Linked DNA regions of Mytilus edulis. The protein of the gene in region 1 purifies or fractionates together with the protein of each later gene. This does not show direct contact. Links are inferred from orthologs where the notes say so. Each region holds a gene or a part of one and is shown in the gene's direction. Other genes may lie near its edges.

Region 1 (7,481 bases):
TATTTGATTCGAGTTACACTGACGAGTCTTATTTAGATGTGACGTCCGTCTGATGATCAAAAATAAGCCAGGTATATTTGATGCGTTTTTATTCGAGCATAATTATTTTATCTGAGTTAAACGTAGACAGTGTGGATCTTTTAAAAAGGGGGCTAGTCCGATTTAAATTACCCCTTACTTTAGGCGATCTCATTTTGATTTATTTGCATTCTCAGTGTGACAGCAAAGTCACGCGTTACAATAGTTGACAAGTGACACTTCCTGCAGCATATCTAAATTAGAGGATGAAGCATCCTTAAGTGTAGTAGGCAACAACAAAACAGAAATGTTGATATTGAAACAAGCTATTATCATGCAAAGAATGCATTCAAATCCATTCAACCAGCAGACATTTTGTTTGTAGTTTTTATTTTGGTTGATGACAAAAACCTAAAAAAGGTGTAATGTTAACCAATGATAACTGTCTCGGGTTTAAAGCGGGCAGATTGTATATTGTGAACATTGTATACATGTAGATACATTGAAGTGAATGTTTTGTAGAGACTGCTTTTATAAATGCTATGTTGTTTGGTCTTCGTATCAAAAGTGCTACTTTGCTATAGACATATATTTTTTATGATTTTTTGAATATTAATGACAAGGTTATGTATGTGGCTTTCCATCACAAAGCAATTCCAATATTGAATTCTCCCCCTCTCCATTACATCAGTTTATACTTCTGACTTCTGCGTTTATTTCAATCAAGTAAAAATATAAACATATTTGTAAGAGGTAATTGATTAATTTTCCATTTTACCACTACTGATTTCAATTTTGCGCAACTTGATCCGATGAATCTGGAATCATTTTTCACTTGTAACACCAAATATTTCCTGTTGTGACTGAAATAATTGTGGAAAAACTTAAAATTCACGTAATATTTTTCAACGAATTTCTTCAAATCTGCTGCTTACTAATCTTAATCACTGATTTGCGCTCAATCATTTAAAAAGTTGTTAATAATAATTGTGTTTTTATAATTAATTGTATTTTTAATATTATTCAATGCATATTGTTATATTGATAGGTTAGTATTTAATATTTATTCCGTCCTGTTACATTGTTATCATATTGTTATTTCACAGACCTTTTCTTAACGTTCCTGTGTAGTTAGTGTGCCAGTCATGTAGGGTACGAAACGGAATACAAATGCTCGATAAGCCTTGTAATTCCTACCGGTTTCTGATCCTCGATCAAATCATTGTTATATTCCAAAACCGTGTAATGACATTCTTCTTTTATATATATGGCAAACATGTTTTTTGCGCAGTAAAATTGTATTGACTGGTATATAATTAATTTGTGGGTGTGCTTTGGTTTTAACGTGAACAATGTTTCATCAGAATATGATTTTAGGAAGTGAAGAAGCAATAATACGCCGGATTTTACACTGTCATTTTCAGTTCCAAAATTCACAATTTTCAAACACAATATTTACTGTTGAGCGTGGCCATACAAAGTATCGCATATATAATAGATGGTTATATTCCGTATAAATCTCAGTAGTGTACAAACAATCAACAACAACAAAAAAGAAAAAAAAATGACAACCATAATTCAAGTCCATTATTTTTTTTTCTGTCTTTCAAAGTTGACAGCCATGAACAATTGTACAAGTGAAGAAAAAAAAACCAGTTAACTTTAATTCAAATTCAAAAGAAATCTTACACTTCTTTTAATGTTATTTTCTGCAATGACTGACAAGTTCATTTATCTGAATAACTAGTAGTTACAAGTAATTATTTTTGTAAACCATTACTTCTTATCATAGATTGTTATTTTTATAATACATGTATATATGTGCTGTCTTACATTCTTACCTAATAAATAACTGTGATACTTTTAATTAAGTTTATTGTTGTTCTTGCGATGAATAGAATTATGTAAGTTTCGAATAAGAAAAGAATCTGTATGTCACTGGGGATGTTAAAAGCGTTTTATTTTTCTATGAAAAGAATGCATGGCTATTTTATATAGGTATACGTCAATGAGACAATAACCCAACAACAGAAAAAAAACTACAAAAGACATCCAGGCAACAAAGTCCGAATTCAGACAGATAACTCCACCTTTTGACATATAGCTCTTTAACGGTTTCGGTACTTATACATCTTCGGATGTCAAATGTTTGGCTTTGAGCCTTCCTGATGAAGGTAAATCCAGAAAAGCTATTCGGACGCAAGAAATTAATAACGTGATGTTTTCAAATGTTTTTATTCCAATCGTTAGAAAGAATGGTGTCGTATGTTAGCGGTCAAATCAGACAACCTACCCCAAATTAAAAATAACAAAAAGTTTTACGGAATACAACATACATCAATGCAGAAATTGCACTTCACCTAAATGTCTTATATCCCCTGTGATAGTGATGTAACAGTACAGCATGATAAGAGCAAACTATAAAAAACTATTGAAAACAAAATCATTCCATTGACGAACATATGCAAAAACAATGACACAGATAACGTATCTTGTAATTCATAAGGTGAATTGTCATTGCATGTGAATTTCGATATAAACAATCATGGTATATACATGCATGAGATACACTTGAAATGGTAAAGGAGACTTGAGTATTTGCCCCCAGCATAAGACCGATTGATTTTAGTTATGTAACCAATTTGCCTCAATCTGTACAATTTCATCAATAAATTGTGTCTTGATATGGCATCAAATGAATCAATGAAGTAAATAAACATTGTCTTTTAGATAGCTCTTTATATAGTAAATCGCATTGATACAATGCTCAACTCGATAGAAATATAAACTGCGCATCATTGATATTATCATTACTATCATATCAATAGCCATGTGTATTTTAATTCGACGTAAAGATACTGTCGCGAAATTGCTTACAAAACTGATTCCACGATAGTTGAAGGGATCGGATGAGGGACCTGGAACAGTACTGCAATTGTTTAAGATTGTGGAAATGTCCAGACCTGCATGTTGAACATTTCCTCCATCCACAGTTGCAGAATATCATTCCATTCAAGAATAGTTCGTTAAATGGTCCGTTTCTACTATGACTTTTAAGAAGTTTTGTTAAGAAAAAAACCCTCTTCGGAATGCCATTAATCTTTAGAAATAAATCGATCAAGTTGGTCATACGGTGTAAAGGAAAACGTATCTGAACTATTTCTTAAATGTGTCAGAATTTTTGGGTCGCTTAGAACTACTGTAACAGCTTATAGAATGTTTTATTTTGTTGTTTCTGTGCAATGCTCTATCATATATATCACTTAACTCTTGGCGCTTATACCTCCGTTTTAAGTTATTTTCATTCCATTGACACTTTTAAAAAAAATAATGAATTGTAACTTTTTCATCAAAGGAGGGGTATTTTTTTTACTCCTATTAAACAATTAATCAAGATCAAATTATTGAACTTCCTATCCATGAAGAACTATGCATTTCCTCTAAACACGGTAGCAAAATATCATAGCATTCAATGAATATGTCATTAAATGTTAAAAATGTTCTGTTTGCACTATCATCGGACTGTTAAGAATGTTGGTCGAAAATAAAATAAACCCAAAAACTTGTATGTGTAAAATACTAAGCATATTCCACAGATATTTTACCCGATTTTTATTACAGTACTAAAAGTTGTCAAATTTTGTTAAAAAACTTAAGTCGTGAACAAATAAAAAGAGCACATAGGACCATGATATGCAATTCAAAACCACAAAAAAAAAAACTTGAAGACATTACCATTACCGAAAAAAAAAGAAGAAAATTTGATAACGCTACAAAACTTAAATTGTGCAACATTAACCTCACCAAAATCTTGTAAAATCGGTATCATGATTTCGTAAGGATAAGCATTTTCCTGTTCCAATAGCTGCACCTGTCGTGCTTCTCATAACAAGAACAAACGGTGATAAGTTGAATTTGGTAAAAAGACATTTACTTCAAGTGTTTTTTTTTTATTGAGTTAATATTTGAAAATATTTGGAAAAAAGATATATGAAATTCTCAAGAAATAAAAATAATAATATTAAATATAATTTTTCAATCATGATTGACAGAGGTATTCTCAAAATCAGTACATTAGCTTGAACTAGTTTTAAAGTTTTTCATGTTCCAAAAAACTACATTTCTACTCATACCATGTTAGAATTTAGAATTTAGATTGAATTGGATTGTAAAGTAGACTAGAAAACTTGCTGCTCGCAATTTCAGATGAATAGGGAAACCAGTCTGGTTAGATGATACAATAGCAGTGAGCAGACAACCAGTCTTAATACTTTATTGACGATGACCCACTTAACCCCAAATCAATGTGCATATTTTTAAATCGTTGCTACATTGAACTACAAACCGTATTTTTCAAGAAAACAATTTATTTCTAAATGTTGAAATATTAAAGAAAGTCTTTGATTTCGACCAACACTCACGAATCATAATAATTGTTTAGATCTATTTTTGTTTGCGGATAAATGACTAAATGAAGATCTGTTGTTTGGCTTTCATCGAGAATGGTTTAAAAGTCAACGGCGAAAATGCCTGAGGAACACATTCAGAGACTCAAAACTCTTTTGACTTAGTCTTCTAAGAATTTCACAAATCAGCTTTTATCATTTCAGTTTATTTGGTTACCCATTCCATTCTTTATTTTATAGTTAATATATTTGGAAAATGAGTCGACAGCAGCCTCGCAAAGACACAAAAATGCGAATCAGAGCATTTCCAGTAAGTATAAGACCACATAGAAAGTCCCACTCATATATCATTAAACCAAAATTACGTATTTTTTTATTGCAAATCCTTGTAGACACTTATTTTCGAGAAAAAAATAATATTTGGATCATGAAATAAAATGGCGGACGGAAGTGGCATAATGAATGTAAATAAAGACGTCTGCTGCATGGGAAACTCTATGAGGACTTCTAGTAGGCCTATAGTTAGAATGTTCAATCGACAATTAAATACAACCAATTAAGATATATTAAACTGTCATCAACTGTAATTGTACACATTTTATGAGTAAGACAGTTGTGTGCCAAGCTGTCCCACAGTCCTGCCATATTCTGGACTTTCTCTTTGCTAGTGAATTTTGAGGGGAACTTTGAGACCCATTTTTATTATGACATATCAATTAGATCTTGTAAACATTTTTAACTTTTAATGAAAATTTCATACCAAAATTGGATAAGTTTAAAAATTAAGCACAATACTGTTATTGAACTTATCGATAGTACATCATTTCTAGAATCATGTCTTTCTCGTACGCCTTTATGTATCATAACCAGATTGATAGCGAGTCTGTATCCTGATCTATTAAAAGTTTTCAGCACTTTCAGAATCATCATTCTGTAGGGTAGTATAATGGAAATAATTTATGTTCTGTAAGTACGTAATTTTAATGTTCCTGCCACTGAGGGAGGGTGACCATCTCACAAGTTTTTAATTTTCAAAATATTTTGTGCATTATAAAACTTTTTCACACGTTGGCTCAACATGTGTTGGAAATTACTGTACCTACATTTTGGTAATGTGGTGATGGAAGTCCCATGACAGATTTAACTAACTACTGCATCCCTGAAGTGACATATTTTTTATGTAATCAATATTCAATTTTAAGTTTAAATATTTCCTTTATTCTTTCTAGATGACAATGGATGAAAAATATGTTAACAATATTTGGACATTGCTGAAAAATGCCATTCAGGAAATCCAGAAAAAAAATAACAGTGGACTTAGTTTTGAGGAGTTGTATAGAAATGCCTATACCATGGTATTGCATAAACATGGAGAAAAATTATACACTGGTTTGCGTGATGTTGTCACAGATCATTTAGTTGACAAGGCAAGTAATACTAATATTTGGTTAGGAGAAATATATGTCTTATTCAAGCTGGAATACTGGACCATTATTCTAGCAAGTTTTCATAACAGTGTGTTCATAAAAGATATCTTTCCCAAAATTAAAAGATAACATTTTGTGAAATGAGTGCTAGTATAAAACTTAAAATCCAATTCCCCCTGGCTTTTTTCATGAAAATTTGGAAATTGATGATGTTAGATGGTGTTTTTATTAAATTTATCATTGACAGTAAGTAAACAAAGTTATTAAATTATAATCTGTCTATATTAACAGATAAGAGAAGATGTTCTTTCAGCATTGATCAATAACTTTCTGCAAACGTTAAACAGTGCATGGAATGACCACCAAACATCAATGGTTATGATAAGAGACATACTGATGTATATGGTAGGTATATATAATTATTATATCCCAATCACTGTCAGAGTGTATTTTAATGAAAGACTGCAAACAACTTGTTTTCCATTTCTCTATCGTTAATAACTCCACTTGTGTATTAAGCATGGATTAGCTGTTTGTTCATGCTTCATAGTTTTGAAGTTGACTGTAACCTTATTTCAGATCTGCAACACAGTCACTTCCTGTTTGACAATATGCTAAATTTTTATCATACACACTGGTCATGGAATATCTTGTTACATTTTACTCAGACTCTTTATTCTCAATTTTATCTAAAAGATAATGTGTTATTTCGATTGGAATTTCAAAATGATGTCAGTGAGTTCATCAGTGTAAGCTATTTTAAGATAAGCAGAGCAGTCATGTCTTGTTTGATGATTATTTGAATTATCATTCTACCAGCTCAGCATGGATTTTTCTTTATGATAAATAACCAGTGGGTGTATACTTTTAAGACATTGCAAATAACTTTTTACATGAATAAAAAAATCATGGCAGATATTGTCATGACATCATCGAAAGTTTTATAATTTTCCTATAAATATCAATTTATTTTGGGTTTAGGACAGAGTGTATGTTCAACAAAATAATGTAGACAATGTGTACAATCTTGGACTGATGATATTTAGAGAGAAGGTTGTAAGACATCCAATGATAAGGGACCATCTCCGCAGTACATTGTTAGAAATGGTAGCAAAAGAAAGAAGAGGAGAGGTGGTCGACAGGTAAATTAGTGAAAATATAGTCACCAGCAAAGATAATGACACAAATCCATTAGTTAAAAACTCTTTATATACAATTAAAGACATCATACTCCCTCCTTAAAGGGAAGGCAGATGCATTTGAATTGAAGTTTGTAATGTTCTTAGTTCTCAAAATGACATATCTTTAAAACAAGTAACTATCAGCCATTTTTTAATCATGAAAAATATAGTCATTTGTTCTTGAACTTTGTTGATGTGGACTCAGTTGTCTGTTGAGTTCCAGAATTGTTTAATTTATGGTTTTACTGAAAGTTAGCCACATGTAATCTGTCCATGGACAAAGTTATAATTATCAACCTGATTTTGTTCAACTATGTTGCATGTTACATGTACATGTATTTGAGAAGTTACAAGGACTGTTATGTTTTTAGAATAGTTTTTTTATGAAGAAATCCTCATAGAATAGGGTCTCACTCGAAAAATTGGGACGGTAAGTCCCTATTGGATAT
Region 2 (7,484 bases), on another chromosome or scaffold:
TCTATTTTTAGGACTTATTTGGGCCATTGGACAACCAGCTGGGTTCCCAATAAATTAATTTCTGTACCCACAATTCTGCCTTTCCTCATTAACTGAGAACAGTTCGGGCTAAACAGGTTGACAGAACTTTATAAAATATGCTAGAAATGCCTATATAAAAGGTAGTGGATCCAGCCATTTAAAAAAAGGGGGGTCCAACCATATGACCCCATTCAAATGCATTGATCGTCCAAAAAAAAGGGTGTTCCAACCCCCCAGACCTCCCTCTATAAAACTACTCTTACCCTGGCTTGAGAAGTTCAGTTTGATGCCATACTTCCTCATGTGGTCTAAGGCTGTCTGTATGTACATTTCTGGTAACTGGGAAGTCCCTGAAGCCTGTAATATAACCATGTAAACATTAAAATAGTATTCATTTGTGTATTCCATCTGAACTTCATAGAAGCAAAAATTATCTACTAGTATAAAGTGTTTAATGTTCTGATAAGCTTTGAATCCTGATATATGAATTTGCACTCTTTTTTGGTTAAATTTTTGGACTAAATGTTGATAAATATTGGTCCTGGACTTATTCTCTATGCATGTGTGTACCTCTACATGAAGTTGTTAACAAATAGTATGTGTCAAGCCATTTTAGTATCAAACTTACAGTATATGTGATAAAATATCATGATCAATATTTCAGCTGACCATGACATCTATAGGTCTATTAATCATGTTAATTGTTAATTTTCTCTTAATCAAAATAATGAAGCAGATAGTGATTTTATTGCAATTTCTTCATGCATTAAATCTATAAATTGTACCGACATACTAAGCCTCTATTGATTAAATAATATGTTTCCAGGTAAAGAGCTAATAATGGGCTATACTTAGCAGATTTGTCAGAAGAGATCACTTTCACATGAATCAGTAGCATTTAAGTGACATTCCCAGAATTAGATCTACATGTAAATTAAATTTTCTTATTAAGTCATGCAAGTCTTGCTGCCAATTCAATAAATATCTATTTTTATTCACAAACAACTTTTTGATTTATTAGCCAGGAAATAAGTTTTCATAGAATTTCTTTAATTTTTATGGCTTTTAAAGACTCTTTTCTGATGATTTTTTTTACAATTCTAAGCATTATTCAAATATACAAGACTATTTGACATTTTCAACATATATATAAAGCGTCAAATCTAAAAGGAAAACAAAAATTGTTGAATCAATACCTGTAGTTTCTGCAGAAGACATGCTTCTGGACAGAGAAGATCTATTAGCTGACATAGCACTTGTCCTTCCTGTATACTGGATATCCCTTCTACTTCTTTATCTATATCAGCTAAAACTGAGTTAGCCCAATTCAAATAAACCTACAATACAAATGACTTGTTTACATTCACAAATTTTTGTTTTGATCATAAATTTACATGTACATAATGTACATATATCTGCTAACTATCAAACAAAATGTTAGTTACAATTAGCTATAAAAAATGCATGTCACTTGTATAGTGATATGTGTATTTTTGTACAAAGTGCACAAAACAATATTTCATCATGTTCATATGAAGAGACCTATTCACTGAAATAAAATTTGTGATATGAACAGTAAACATATCACTTTCATTAGATGCACAAATCTAGTGCAATAATCGTATATAACAGTTATTAATTAGTCTTCATCTTAAATTTCTTAGTTCATTTGTCATTTTTGTAAGTTATACATTCTTATTTTTTTTTATCAGGCAGTTTCTTTCTACTTGTTAAATGTTTTAAGTACAGTTCATATACACATTTACATTTGCATTCCTGTTTCAATGTGTGTTACGTAATAATGTTCATGACATAAAATACATGTATGTGATTTATTCATCCTTGTTCAAATAATTTAAATCTTTTTTGTTGCACTATTTATACATATATATCAATCATTTTATAAGTAAGAAAGGTTCTTTTTTATAACTTTCAAGATCCTGAATCTCATGCATGCATGTTCTAAATTTATTTTTGATTATATTCGACATATATATATACATGATACATTGTATATATATAATATATTTCTCTAATTCTTCGTCAATTTATCCCTTTCTGCACCCATTGTATAAAAAAAATGTAATCAATGTGTGGTTCGTTTGATCTCAGTACTTCATTGGTTAAAATCCGATTATGACGTTGAATTTTCTTGCTCTCCTCTGAAATTCCTATTGTGACGGCATGAAAAAAGGCAACAATGCCTGATGACATCACATAGAAAGAACACATCTTTTTGCAGATCATTCAAAAAGAAAGAATAAGTTTGCCTGCATAATGTTAGAAAATCATTAGAGAAACAGATTCCACCACCAAATCTTGTGAAATACGATATTTATCCACTCTCAACAGTTAAATTTTAAATATTTAAAACGCTCGGGCAAGCCTCACGTTTTAAATTTGAAAATTTAACTGTCTCCAGTGGATACATATCGTATTACACTCGATGCAGTGGTAGAATCTATATATCTATACATTTTTGTCATTGATAAATACTTTCCAGAATTTTTTTGTTAGAATGAGGAAAAGAATCAACCAACACCAGATTTATAAATGCTTTTATATTAACATACACATGAATAATAAACACAAGACAAAGATCTAGAAATATGATGTTACACATACAGAGTATAATTTTGATGGTACCATCACCAAGTATCGAATTAAACGAAGCAAATATTGAGTACTTTGACTATCATGACTATTGTTCTTCATAATATGGAAATTACAATAAAATTCATCAATAACATAAAAATTTACTGTTTTTGCAAAAAATATGTGACCTTCATTACATTTCGCATATGTCATGTATATATGTTCATTATATTTGAAATCTTTTCATATTCTTAATTATCTTAAATATTTGTGATACCATTTTATAGTGCTTTCAGTGAGTATTTGTATTTTTAACTCGATGACAGTTGAAAATGGATGAAACCTAAAACAACACTACATACAGTTAAAATTATAAATATGCAGCTAATCACATGTACATCTTTTTTTCAAACTAACATGACTAAAAATATAATGCAAAAAAAAACTATGAGAAAAATTGTACTTTTAAAAACATTAAAATGTTGACAACAATTCAAAGTTCAATTAAACTGGCAAAGAACCTACATGCACCATGCCAATATTGATAAAAAGAACAATTATATAACAGTGATAGGTTTTTCCCACAACATATGTGAACAAAACACATTCAAGTTAGTATCAAACACATTTATTCATGCAGTTTAAAAGGTTGTGCATATGAAATGTGTAGTCTAATACAGACGATTTTAATCTGAGATAGGTTCACTGATCTTTATGTACAACAGATCATGCAATAAAAGAACTGGGTCTAAATAGATGTTGTTTGAGTATTATGTTACCTTTCGCTTGCTCATTCTTCTTGTTTACAATTAGTTATCTATTACTCTTCCTGAATATGAAACTAAACTGATAATCCTTTTTATACAAATATCTTTCAACTTAAATTATTAGTTTTCTCACAGATAAATTCACATTAACAGCTCAACACAATTACAGTTTACATGGTATCACACTTTTTATCTTTAACCTGGCTCCTAACCCAAACTTCATTTACATATTCTTAAACATTTAGAAAAACTAATCATTCTACATGTACTAATCTAGATGAACCACTTTCAACATGTCAAATAAAATTACCCTTTCAGTGTGTCAAATAAGTATTCTGGACTTGACAAAGTTTAATTTAATTACTGCAATCAATACCACTAACAAAGTAAACATGATAAATACTGATCACCTAATTACACATTCATGACATTGGTAATTAAATTATAGACTAAATATTATAAGAATAAAATTGTATTATAGTTTCAGTTATCAATTGTATATAGAACATATTTTAATTCTGTTTAAATATAACTGGAATAGCATATTTTAAACCAATCTTATTTGTCATTAATAAACATTTTCATTCTATTTAATAAAATAATAAATATTATTATAATGTTAACTTATTTTTCTTTCATTTAATTTATTGTTTGATATTTCTCTTATACAAATAGATGATTTAGATATCCTTCACTTGTACAATAATTTACCGTTAAATCACCTACTCGGTTCAATTTCAAGTCCTCACATGTCACATCCTTTTATTTTCAATCAAAAATCAATTAAAACCACCAAATAAATCCATTTAAATATGCAATTAGGTACACAAATGCGAGGAAATAAGGATAATTACCTGTAAAACGGACATGGTGTTTTTTAGCTTCCCATTTTCAACATAAACCTTATTTCATTAATTCAATATTTTTGCCGAAAGAGAAAGTTCACACTTGGCCGCCATATGTAAATAAGTCGTAGGCGACCAGCTACGAGTTTGCGCACCTGCTAATTTACGGAACCACTTCCTTTTCCGGTTCCAGGCAGAAAATGTCAATACACAGATGACAGTTGGAAAAAAGTCATATTTGCAGACTTCTTCTGAAAATTAACATAAAAACATACTCCATAAAATAAACATGGTACTTATGCATTACATTGTCAAACAAATTAACATTTTGAAATGCTGTTAAGCTACACAACAGACATGCTACTGTCTGTCTGTCTGTTACTGTTAGTGTTTGTGTTATGATTATGGGTAGTCCAAATAATTATGACGTCTTGAAAGGCTATTATAATTTTTTTCTTTGACGAGTAAGGCGTCAAAGAAAAAAATTATAATTGCCTTTCAAGACGTCATAATTATTTGGACTAGATTATGGGTAGAATAATTCTAGTCTATATACTTATGATGTCTTGAAAGGCTATTTAATTTTACTCTGTGACGCCTTGCTAGGACATCGTAGAAAGGTGTCACATAAAAAATTAAAATAGCCATTCAAGACATCATAATTATTTGGACTTAAGCCAGTTAAGGCAGGAACATATAAATTGACAGGACTTGACACTACCTAATAGACAACTTTCGAGTTCGATGCATTTCCGTCAAAAACTCTGGTTTTAGTGAACGTCATTTGTGTGTTTTGGGGCGTAGTCATATCCATTCCAATGTTGAGCGAGTGGTTGGAAAACTATAATTCTATATTGTACAAATTATTCGGCAAATTGAATTCTCAAAATTGAAAATCAGCACTTCTGCCATTAGGGAATTGTCATTAAGTACCTACAGAACAACCATTATTTCTAGTTAATCCTGCACAATGACGATCACTAAGATGCTTGATTAACGTAAATAGTGCATGGATACAGGCGACCCCCTCTATCTGGTAAATGACATCTTAAAGGCGCATATAATTGATGAGTTTTTTCCGGTGAAGGATGAACTCGAAAGTGGTCTATTGTAGCTGATCAAATTATCAAGTCATCATTTATAAAAACACAATACAGAAACAGACATGTGTTTAAACATACTCGCTATTATACTAATAATTTCAGATAATATCAATAAAATGTCATTCAAACTGAGTTTGGCAGTACTAGTGATGCTAGTGTATGGAATAAAATTAACGGTACCAATATTCCTGCACCAGATGCGCATTTCGACAATACATGTCTCTTCAGTGATGCTCGTGGCCAAAATATTTGAAATCCAAAGCTTATATAAAAGATGAGGAGCTATAATCCAAAAGGTCCAAAAAGTATAGCCAAATCCGTGAAAGGAATCAGAGCTTTGCATGATGGAGATACATTCCTTAATTTATGATAATTTCTATCATTTTGTAACAGTAAATTTTAATAACACAAAAAATCCGTATTTTCATGAACTTGTAATCTATCGCTTCAAATGCATTATAATTAAAATTGAGAATGGAAATGGGGAATGTGTCAAAGAGACAACAACCCGCCAAAATAAAAAACGACAGCAGAGGGTCACCAACAGGTCTTCAATGTAGCGAGATATTCCCGCACCCGGAGGCGTCCTTCAGCTGGCCCCTAAACAAATATATACTAGTCCAGTGATAATGAACGCCATACTAATTTCCAAATTGTACACAAGAAACTAAAATTAAAATAATACAAGACTAACAAAGGCCAGAGGCTCCTGACTTGGGACAGGCGCAAAAATGCGGCGGGGTTAAACATGTTTGTGAGATCTCAAATTGCCTTCATTTCATCACAGAATGCAAACTGGTAAATAAAAAATGGCGTCGATTGCATTCCCACTTTCACAAAATTTAAATAGTAAATAATATACTCATAATAAACATGATAAAGATCATGCCAAAGGCTCGTTTATTATTGTAATGAAATTGATCAACTTAGTTGATATCAAGTGATATCTGATTCTCACATGTTATAAAACCTAGAAATATATGTGCAGTTTGAAGAAAAGATATTAATGTTCTCAAATTATTTTGTTGTGTATAGGAAACAAAAAATGGTTACTAAGGTTTGAATTTGTAGCATAAAACATCCTTTAAACCCTTACTAATGTCACTTCAACATGTTCAGCCTTTTCAATGTGATATAAAAACATACTTTTATAATTACTGCTGGTAAAGCACTGGTAATTTCAAGATTCATAGACAAACAAGAAATGTACAGCAATATCAAACCTTGGGGAAATCACTCTTACAGATATTATTAAATCAAAAATCAAATTTGGTAATATGAAAAGAAATGTTTGAAAGAGAAAGAGACTAATTGATATAATAATGTAGTTTACTTCACAATCATTTTTTGTGCGTATACATGTACCTTTCCAAGCTTTGATGAGTAATAAGTCATGACAATTGATTGATTCTGCAGTTTTTGAGAAAAAAACCTGAAAATGAACACAATCCTTCTTTTCTCATTTATATATTTTGTTTTCAGCTCTTTCTTCCCCCCCTAAAGTTTCTTACTGTTCACTTTGACAATAAAAGTTCAGCTCCTATGAGTTTGGTTTCATGAAGTGCATACAAGTGTAAGGATTTTGTGTCATGTTTTATTTAGGTCATCATGGTCATGTCTAAGCCTAGTAAAAGTAAACAGGGAAATCGAAATAATATCTTTACCTTATGATGTTCACAAGAAAGAAAAGACATGACCTTTACAATATTATTATTAGCTTGCAAAAGCTTAATAAATTTATTTACATATAATATTTGAACTTATCCTTTCTAGCTAATTTCGTAGTTTAAGGCTGGACCATTTTATGGTTACATAATGGCAACCATGGATGTACGTCCGAAGATGTTGCAAGGTAGAGAGCGTCCTGCATTTAAACATAAGCAGCATACACAGAAAGCATTTGAGGTTCTGAACCAGCTGAGAAGGTAAGTTGAAAACTTACGAGGCATCACTAAACATAAAATGAAATTGTAATGAAATGTGGTAAAAAAGAATTATACCTTTTCCTGAATGTTAAATTCGTTCAGAAAGGACTATAAGCTAAATTTATATAGCAATGTATAGTGTGGATTCATTATTATACAGGGGATACCAACTTTCATGGATAGAGGTGAACCACAAATTTGAATGTTCAACGAATTACAACTTTTCTT
Region 3 (7,048 bases), on another chromosome or scaffold:
TTAACTTTTTTTTATAAAACAAATATCAATATTAATTAGTTGATAATGCTTTTGTCTCATTGCCAGATATAGCAAAATGTGCCCTTTTTTCCCCAAAATTTACAGCTTGCTGTGCTGTGTATTCTGTCAAATTGTTTTGTTGTTGTTTGTTTTTTTTTCTTCAAATATTCTCTTAAGTTTTAGAATAAATTTAGAAATAATGCCAGTAATTTGAAAAATATATATATATAAAGTTTATATTATAAACTCATTTACACTCGGCAATCTACATGCACTTGTTGATGTTGATATATTCTCACCAGTCTTTGCATTTTAAATGGGGATTTCAGATGACATTAATACAACATTATCTATACACTACTAAAGACTGCTTACGCCCAACATAAGATTGACCTTAAACAACTACTTTCTTCATTGATAACAAAACTGCTGTTCCATGTACATAAAACCTGGAAAATTCAGCCTCAACAGCAAATTTAACTCCGTATACGGATTTAATTTTTACAGGTATCCCTCTTTTCGCCCCTTTTCTATTTTTGATATTTTAATCAAAAATTTAAAAAATTAAACTTTCAAAAAGTGAAATAATCAAAATTGCACGTTAGATTTAATATTTTAAAAGTTTGATAAAGTTCCTAAACTATCAAATTTATAAATGATATTTAGAATTTTAATATTTTAATAATTTGGTTAAAATTTCAAAATTTCAAAACTTTTTAACACATGTGAATTTGAAATTTTGATGTTTTAAAACTTTGATCAAAATTTCAAAAATCTAAAGTTTCAAAACTTTTTAAAACTTTGAATTGAAGTGTTACACGGACCTTGAAACATTAACATCCAACTTATCGTTCTTGTTTAGTAAAATCTGAACACATTCATATCATATAAACGTATACCATAAACATTATTTCCAGCCTTCATTTCTATGTAATAGTTGTCGCTGTACATTAATTAAGCCCCCACCTATCGATTTGTAGGTGTCGGCAATTTTCAATTTTCAAAAGTTTATATCAGCGATAAATGGTAATCTTTTTAGGAATCCGATATATAAATATTGTCACCAAAGGGACACCAAGGGGACACTTTTTTTACTTGGATACTTCCACGAGGGGCTTCAATTATGGTACATATAATATTCTGACTCATCAATTTGACGGGGGAAAAAATCTGTGCAAGCAGAGGACAACAAAAAATATTCTGAATCCAGATTTTCCCCATGCCTTATAGTGTTTTGAACCAAATAATATGATTAATAGCGATGAAAAACTTAATAAAATTGTTAGTGCTTGGCACGAATTTTTTTCTCACTTCGACAAAACAACTATATTCTCATTTTTAAAGTTAAGTACATATGATTGCTCCCTTAGACAACGTAACGTCGTTTGGACTGATGCTTGTAAAAGGTATATTCATTTATCATATACGTATCTCTATTAGGGGCCCTAAATAAACCACTGTGTTTAAATAGCAAATAAAAGGGAAAGGGATTTTTGTATTAAGGGATATCATTGTTCCGTATTCGTTATTTGTGCATTTTTAAGTTATCGTACGACAATCAACTATGACCAAAGTGAAAGAGCACAGGTACGTCAAGTCAGAATGCCACGCTGTCTGCTGCATGATGGAATTTCCATTCTTAGCCATACACCAATGTTGCTCTCGAAAAACCAGTACAATGTAAAACGCTGAATTTAAGTAAAGCATTCACCTACGGAACGCTGAAAACTGAATATTTGAAAGTGAAGTAAATATAAGAACCGAAACAACTGAAGAGGTGTTTGGCCAAAGTGAATTTGAACATATAAAGGGCTACTTTGTCCGAGGGAGTTGAATCCTAAGTTTCTTTGTAATTTGTATGTAAACAGCAAATTATCGATTTTTGGTTGCTAGTGACAAATATTTCATGAATGTTCAGGGACAAATAAGCAATAAATACAACAGGGGGAGGGGGATTGTGCTTGTTATTGATCATATGATGAAGATATAATCTTTCAATTAGTTGAATTGAGGTCTGGAGCTGGCATATATGTCAGTAACTGCTAGCTTTAATATAGTAGTTCTTTGTTAATTTATTATCATTGTCATTTTTATTAGTTTCTTTTGTTTCCAATTCTGACATAGGACTTGTATTTCTTTCAAAATGCGTTTTACTTTGCGTATTGCTGTGTGTTTGTTTATTCTACATTGGCTACAGGTACCGTATATAGGGGGAGGGTTGTGATCTCATGAAACATGTTTAACCCCGCCGCATGTGTCCCAATTCAGGAGCCTCTGTCCTTTTAAGTCTTGTATGATTGTAACTTTAGGTCATTGCTATATTTCGGAGTTTAGTATGACGTCTATTATCACTCAACCATCATTGAACCAGTACACTTTTTTGTCTTGGGACCAGCTGAAGCACGCCTAGCACAACGTTCATTGAGACACCATAAATTAAGTATTTCTTCCGTATTATTACTTGGAACTGAAATGCTTTATCAATCACAAAAGACAATATATTATCGGCATGCAATCGATAAAAAACAAAAACAAAACGTTAAAGTTGCATGCGACCGAAGCGCTTTTTCCGAATCTACCTTCATCAGGAACGTCAAAAAGGCGAATAATACTATTTGGCCTACTGCGAGTTGGTAAGTTTTCACCTTTACTTCTAAATGTTGGGCACTGGGGACACCAAATAGCCCTGAATTATATATCTCAAACGATAACCTTATATAAGAGATTTAAATCAACTTATTTGATGCCGGTTTAAATAGGTTTAAATATTGTTTAATAGATGAACAACCTTAAAATTTCAGGATACTGTTATCCCATGTGATGTCTAATATGTTTTGACTTCTTTTTATTATTCATTTTGTAATTAAAAATGATTCGATATATTTCGTGCTATTTATTCCTAACTAAGAATGATTATAATCAGAGCCGTGTTTACAGGTACACCTCTTTTCGCCCCTTTTCTATTTTGATATCTTAATAAAAAATAAAAAAAAAAAACTTTCACAAAAAGGGAAATAATCAAAATTGCACGTTAGGTTTAGTATTTTTAAAGTTTGATCAAATCTCTAAACTATATCAAACTTATTAACGATATTTAGAATTTTAATATTTTAATTATTTGATTAAAATTTCAAAATTTCAAAACTTTTACACAATTTGGAATTTTGATATTTAAAAAAAAAACTTTAATCAAAATTCCAAAAATTTAAAATTTGAAAACTTTTTAAAACTTTGAATTGATACGTGATACACGGACCCCAGAGACATATGTGTATACATGTCTCTGCGTGAGAGAACCCAAATTACACCTATTTTGACAGTTTTTTCCTCTACGATTTTTTATGATCCTGACAAAAGTTTCCATTCTGTGTTTATTTTGAAGATGTATCCTTATTTACTATAAAGTTTAATACACAAATTTAATTTTGAATATATGCATGATATATGATTAAGTCATAGAAAAATGGATTTAAACTGACCCCCAGGATTACGCAATGAGGAGTACCCAAATTGCATATATCTATGCTTCAATTCACATCCTTAAAAATTGAAAAAAAAGATGTTTTGTTCCATTTGTTCAAATAGCTAAAACAACTTGACATTCGTCCATGCTTCAGTACTATTGATTTTTCTCATTTTTAAAAGATGGGTTCACGGTGCAATTTTGGTACTGTGACCAGGTGACGTTTATACTCATTCTAGGACTGCCTAACCGTTATGTCTCTGTCAGTTAGGCGAGTTGAAATGCCTAAATTTATCAAGATTTTATCCTTTTTCATAAATGGGTCAAGTTGCTATGACTGATTTGAATGAGATTTTATCTTTTTTCATATTAAGGGCGAGTTTTTAACAAGAGTGGGGCAAGTTAGTTGAAAGTGGGGCGAGTTGGTGGATAGTGTCGCGATTTGGTTGTGGGACGAGTTTTCCTGATTCCGCTGTGTAAAGGCAGGTAAAGCAAGCACCAGTTTAACAATGATGCACGCGAATTTGACGAGATTTTATTATAATGAAAATATGGAAACTGTTTCATTCTGTTCGTGTCAAAAATAGCACCAAACAAACCTAGTACAAGCTAAAAAAAATCAAACAATAGTACTTATTGGGGTTCATTGGGGTTGCATATCGATGAAATAATTAATTGATGGACCATGGCCGAAAATGGGCCTCAACCTTGCAGCACCACTGTACCACAAAATTCTGGATCTGGCCAAGGCAGAATTAGCGAATGGGTGAAGTTAAACGTTGGCGGAACAACTTTTATGTCAACGAGAACGACATTGTGTAGAGACCCTAAGTCATTCCTGTATAGACTTGTACAGGAGGAACCAGATTTAAATACGGACAAGGTTATTTCATTGAAAAGAGTGGGGGGGGGGGGGGGGGGGGACTTCTAAATAAACTATTTCCACAGTAGACGGTTCTAAATAATCAAGAATTTTAAATTTATTTATTCCAAGTTAGTGCATTTGAATCCATGACATCTCTGCCAAAAAAAATTTACCCCCTGACAAACTTTGTCTTTGAATTTATTTCTATCAACCAGGGTTCTCACTAAGGCGAGTCCACGAGTTCAGGACTCATGAAAATCTGTCTGGACTCACCATTTTCAAAACTGGTGAGTCCAAAGATGCATCAAAATTGAAATATTTTATAATAATCAGCATCGTTGATTGTGGCCATTATCAGGCAGAAGCAGAAGAAGCACATATCATCATTTTATAGCACACAATAGAATAAAAGAAATCTGAGTTTAATGTCATGTCATTGCTATTTTATGTCATGGAGCCTTTATAAAATGATAAATCATATTGCAAAAAAATATCTTCTTACTGTTGGGACTCACCATGGACAAAAATGACGAGTCCCTGGACTCGCCTTCAAAAATACTTAGTGAGAACTCTGATCAACTAAACATTAACTAAAAATGGTACAGAGGCATGTGGCCCGTTTTGTATGTAACAACTACCACAAAACCAGTAGTGTAACATCCATGTTAAATGATCTCCAATCATGCCAATGGCCCTCACTTGTGCGCTGCCTCAAAACTAGACTGATTATTCTACAATAATGGAATAAGAAAAGTACATACCAAATCATTTCGGCAAATATCCATCTCTAAGACAGATACAAATGGTCATTTTTTCCACAAACATTAAATCAATGGAACATGTTACCACAATTTGTTGTAGCATATCAAACATTTAGAGATTATTTCACACCAACTGTTCTCCACAACATAGATTAAATTTATATAAATGTATGTACACCAATGTAATTATTTTTTAATCAATTGTTGTCTTTCTTTTATGTAAATATCACCATTCAAAATATTCAAGTATTCTACAAATTTAAAAATAAATTTTTGATCAATTATAATTTTAATGCACATGCAACAGTTCGTAAACTTCAATATAAATGAAACTGAAACTGTATATCAGAAAAAGAAGAACTTGCTCTCCTTAAGTTATCGAGATGGCCCCTAAAATAAAATGTGTATTAGTCCAGTAAAAATAGACATCATACTGAACTTCTTAACATGTTTATAAATGAACTAAAATTAAGAAAACATACAAGATTAACAAAGGCCAGGGGCTCCTGACTAGGGATAATAAATGGTGCAATAATGTGGCAGTGTTAATCATGTTTTGACAACATCAACCCTCCCTCTATACCTCTAGCCAATGAAGAATAAAGAAACACACAAAAATTCACACAGCTTAAGTCTCTTGAGATATTCCAGTCTCAAGTGACCAAAATCTCAAACTAAATCAGCAAAACAATTGTTCTTAACCTGTTATTTAATCATGCGCAACTTGCCAAAATATTCATCAATGTGGGCAGTATTTGAAAGAAGTAGAAGAAGAAGAATGTAAAACCAGCATTGAATAGTTAGCAGACAAATGAGTAACTACCCTTCAAATGAGAGAGATATTTGTTTGGGTTAATATCAATAATTATGAATCTGCATTTGACACATGGCATATATTTATGAAAAATGCAGCACTTATAACACATTGAGGATATAAGTCTAATCGGTAATAGTATATGTCTCAAATAAGACAAAGTTAATTGAAATTAACTTAGTTCATATTTTGTAGGATGAAAATGGAGCCTTTTTGATAGACAGAGATCCCACATACTTTGGACCTGTTTTAAATTATTTACGACATGGAAAGTTGGTGATAAACAAAGACTTAGCAGAAGAGGGTTAGTTAGTAAGCCTTTGAATGTTTCCTGTTTACAAATTTTTAAGTTTATTTGGATTCAATGTCATGACAGAATAAAGGCATAATATAACAAGCATTGATGTGTTATGACTCGCACTTGTACATTTTTTGCTAGATTTTTTTATAAAACTTAATTTATTGGTAATGATTGGTTAACATCAACAATCACTCACACATCAGTGTCTCTTGACAAGTTTGAAAACCAGTGCCCATAAATTATTTTTAAAAGAGTTATGCCCCACGGAAATATTAATTATATTGAAAATTGCATTGCATTTGCTCTCAAGCCTTCATTAATTTCTTTAAGATATTTAAAAAAATTAATGAACAAAAAAAAAGTTACTTATACATGTAGTTATATATCAGTAATGTCTTGGACAAGTTAGACAATCAGCATTAACCCTTTTTAAGCTCGCCCGGCCTAAAAGGCCAAATGAGCTTTTCTTCATCACTTGGCGTCGTCATCCCTCATTGTTGTTTTTAAATTTTTATAAGACCGCGAATATTTTGTCCATTTGTATAATGCTATGATGTCATAGTCAGCTTTGTCCAAAGACGCATTTCTTGACAATGTCTTAAGTTTGAGGGAATGGATCTCTATGAAATTTTTGTCAGAAGGTTCAATAGTTGAATACCACTAAAAGGAAGGTTGGGATTGATTTTGGGTGATATGGTACCACCCGTTTCAGAATTAAGGGCCAAAAAGGAGCTAAAACAATCATTTTCTAGTTTCTGTACAATAACTAGTATGTAAGGGTACAGATCTCTCTTAAATTGTTCCACAAGGGAAGACTTGGATTCAGTTTGGGGTAATTGTCCTA

Evidence for each region.
Region 2: the proteins of cullin-3-A-like (region 1) and kelch-like protein 2 purify together in Drosophila melanogaster (affinity purification with western blotting; 3 studies listed by BioGRID). This does not show direct contact. The link is inferred for Mytilus edulis from reciprocal best matches to the Drosophila melanogaster genes Cul3 and kel.
Region 3: the proteins of cullin-3-A-like (region 1) and BTB/POZ domain-containing protein KCTD5-like purify together in Drosophila melanogaster (affinity purification with western blotting; 4 studies listed by BioGRID, with this or other methods). This does not show direct contact. The link is inferred for Mytilus edulis from reciprocal best matches to the Drosophila melanogaster genes Cul3 and inc.

Annotation. Positions count from the first base shown.
Region 1 is NC_092346.1:79,309,538-79,317,018, forward strand, and holds the start of cullin-3-A-like, read left to right. Parts: upstream 1-4,469; 5' UTR 4,470-4,680; coding exon 4,681-4,734; intron 4,735-5,653; coding exon 5,654-5,851; intron 5,852-6,142; coding exon 6,143-6,256; intron 6,257-6,832; coding exon 6,833-6,993; intron 6,994-7,481.
Region 2 is NC_092352.1:43,244,729-43,252,212, forward strand, and holds the start of kelch-like protein 2, read left to right. Parts: upstream 1-4,401; 5' UTR 4,402-4,520; intron 4,521-7,104; 5' UTR 7,105-7,146; coding exon 7,147-7,256; intron 7,257-7,484. Other genes in the region: interaptin-like, read right to left, coding at 285-378, 1,218-1,358, 4,238-4,252. UniProt on the Drosophila melanogaster protein: Component of ring canals that regulates the flow of cytoplasm between cells. May be involved in the regulation of cytoplasm flow from nurse cells to the oocyte during oogenesis. Binds actin.
Region 3 is NC_092352.1:64,454,174-64,461,221, reverse strand, and holds the start of BTB/POZ domain-containing protein KCTD5-like, read left to right. Parts: upstream 1-3,947; 5' UTR 3,948-4,148; coding exon 4,149-4,346; intron 4,347-6,098; coding exon 6,099-6,207; intron 6,208-7,048.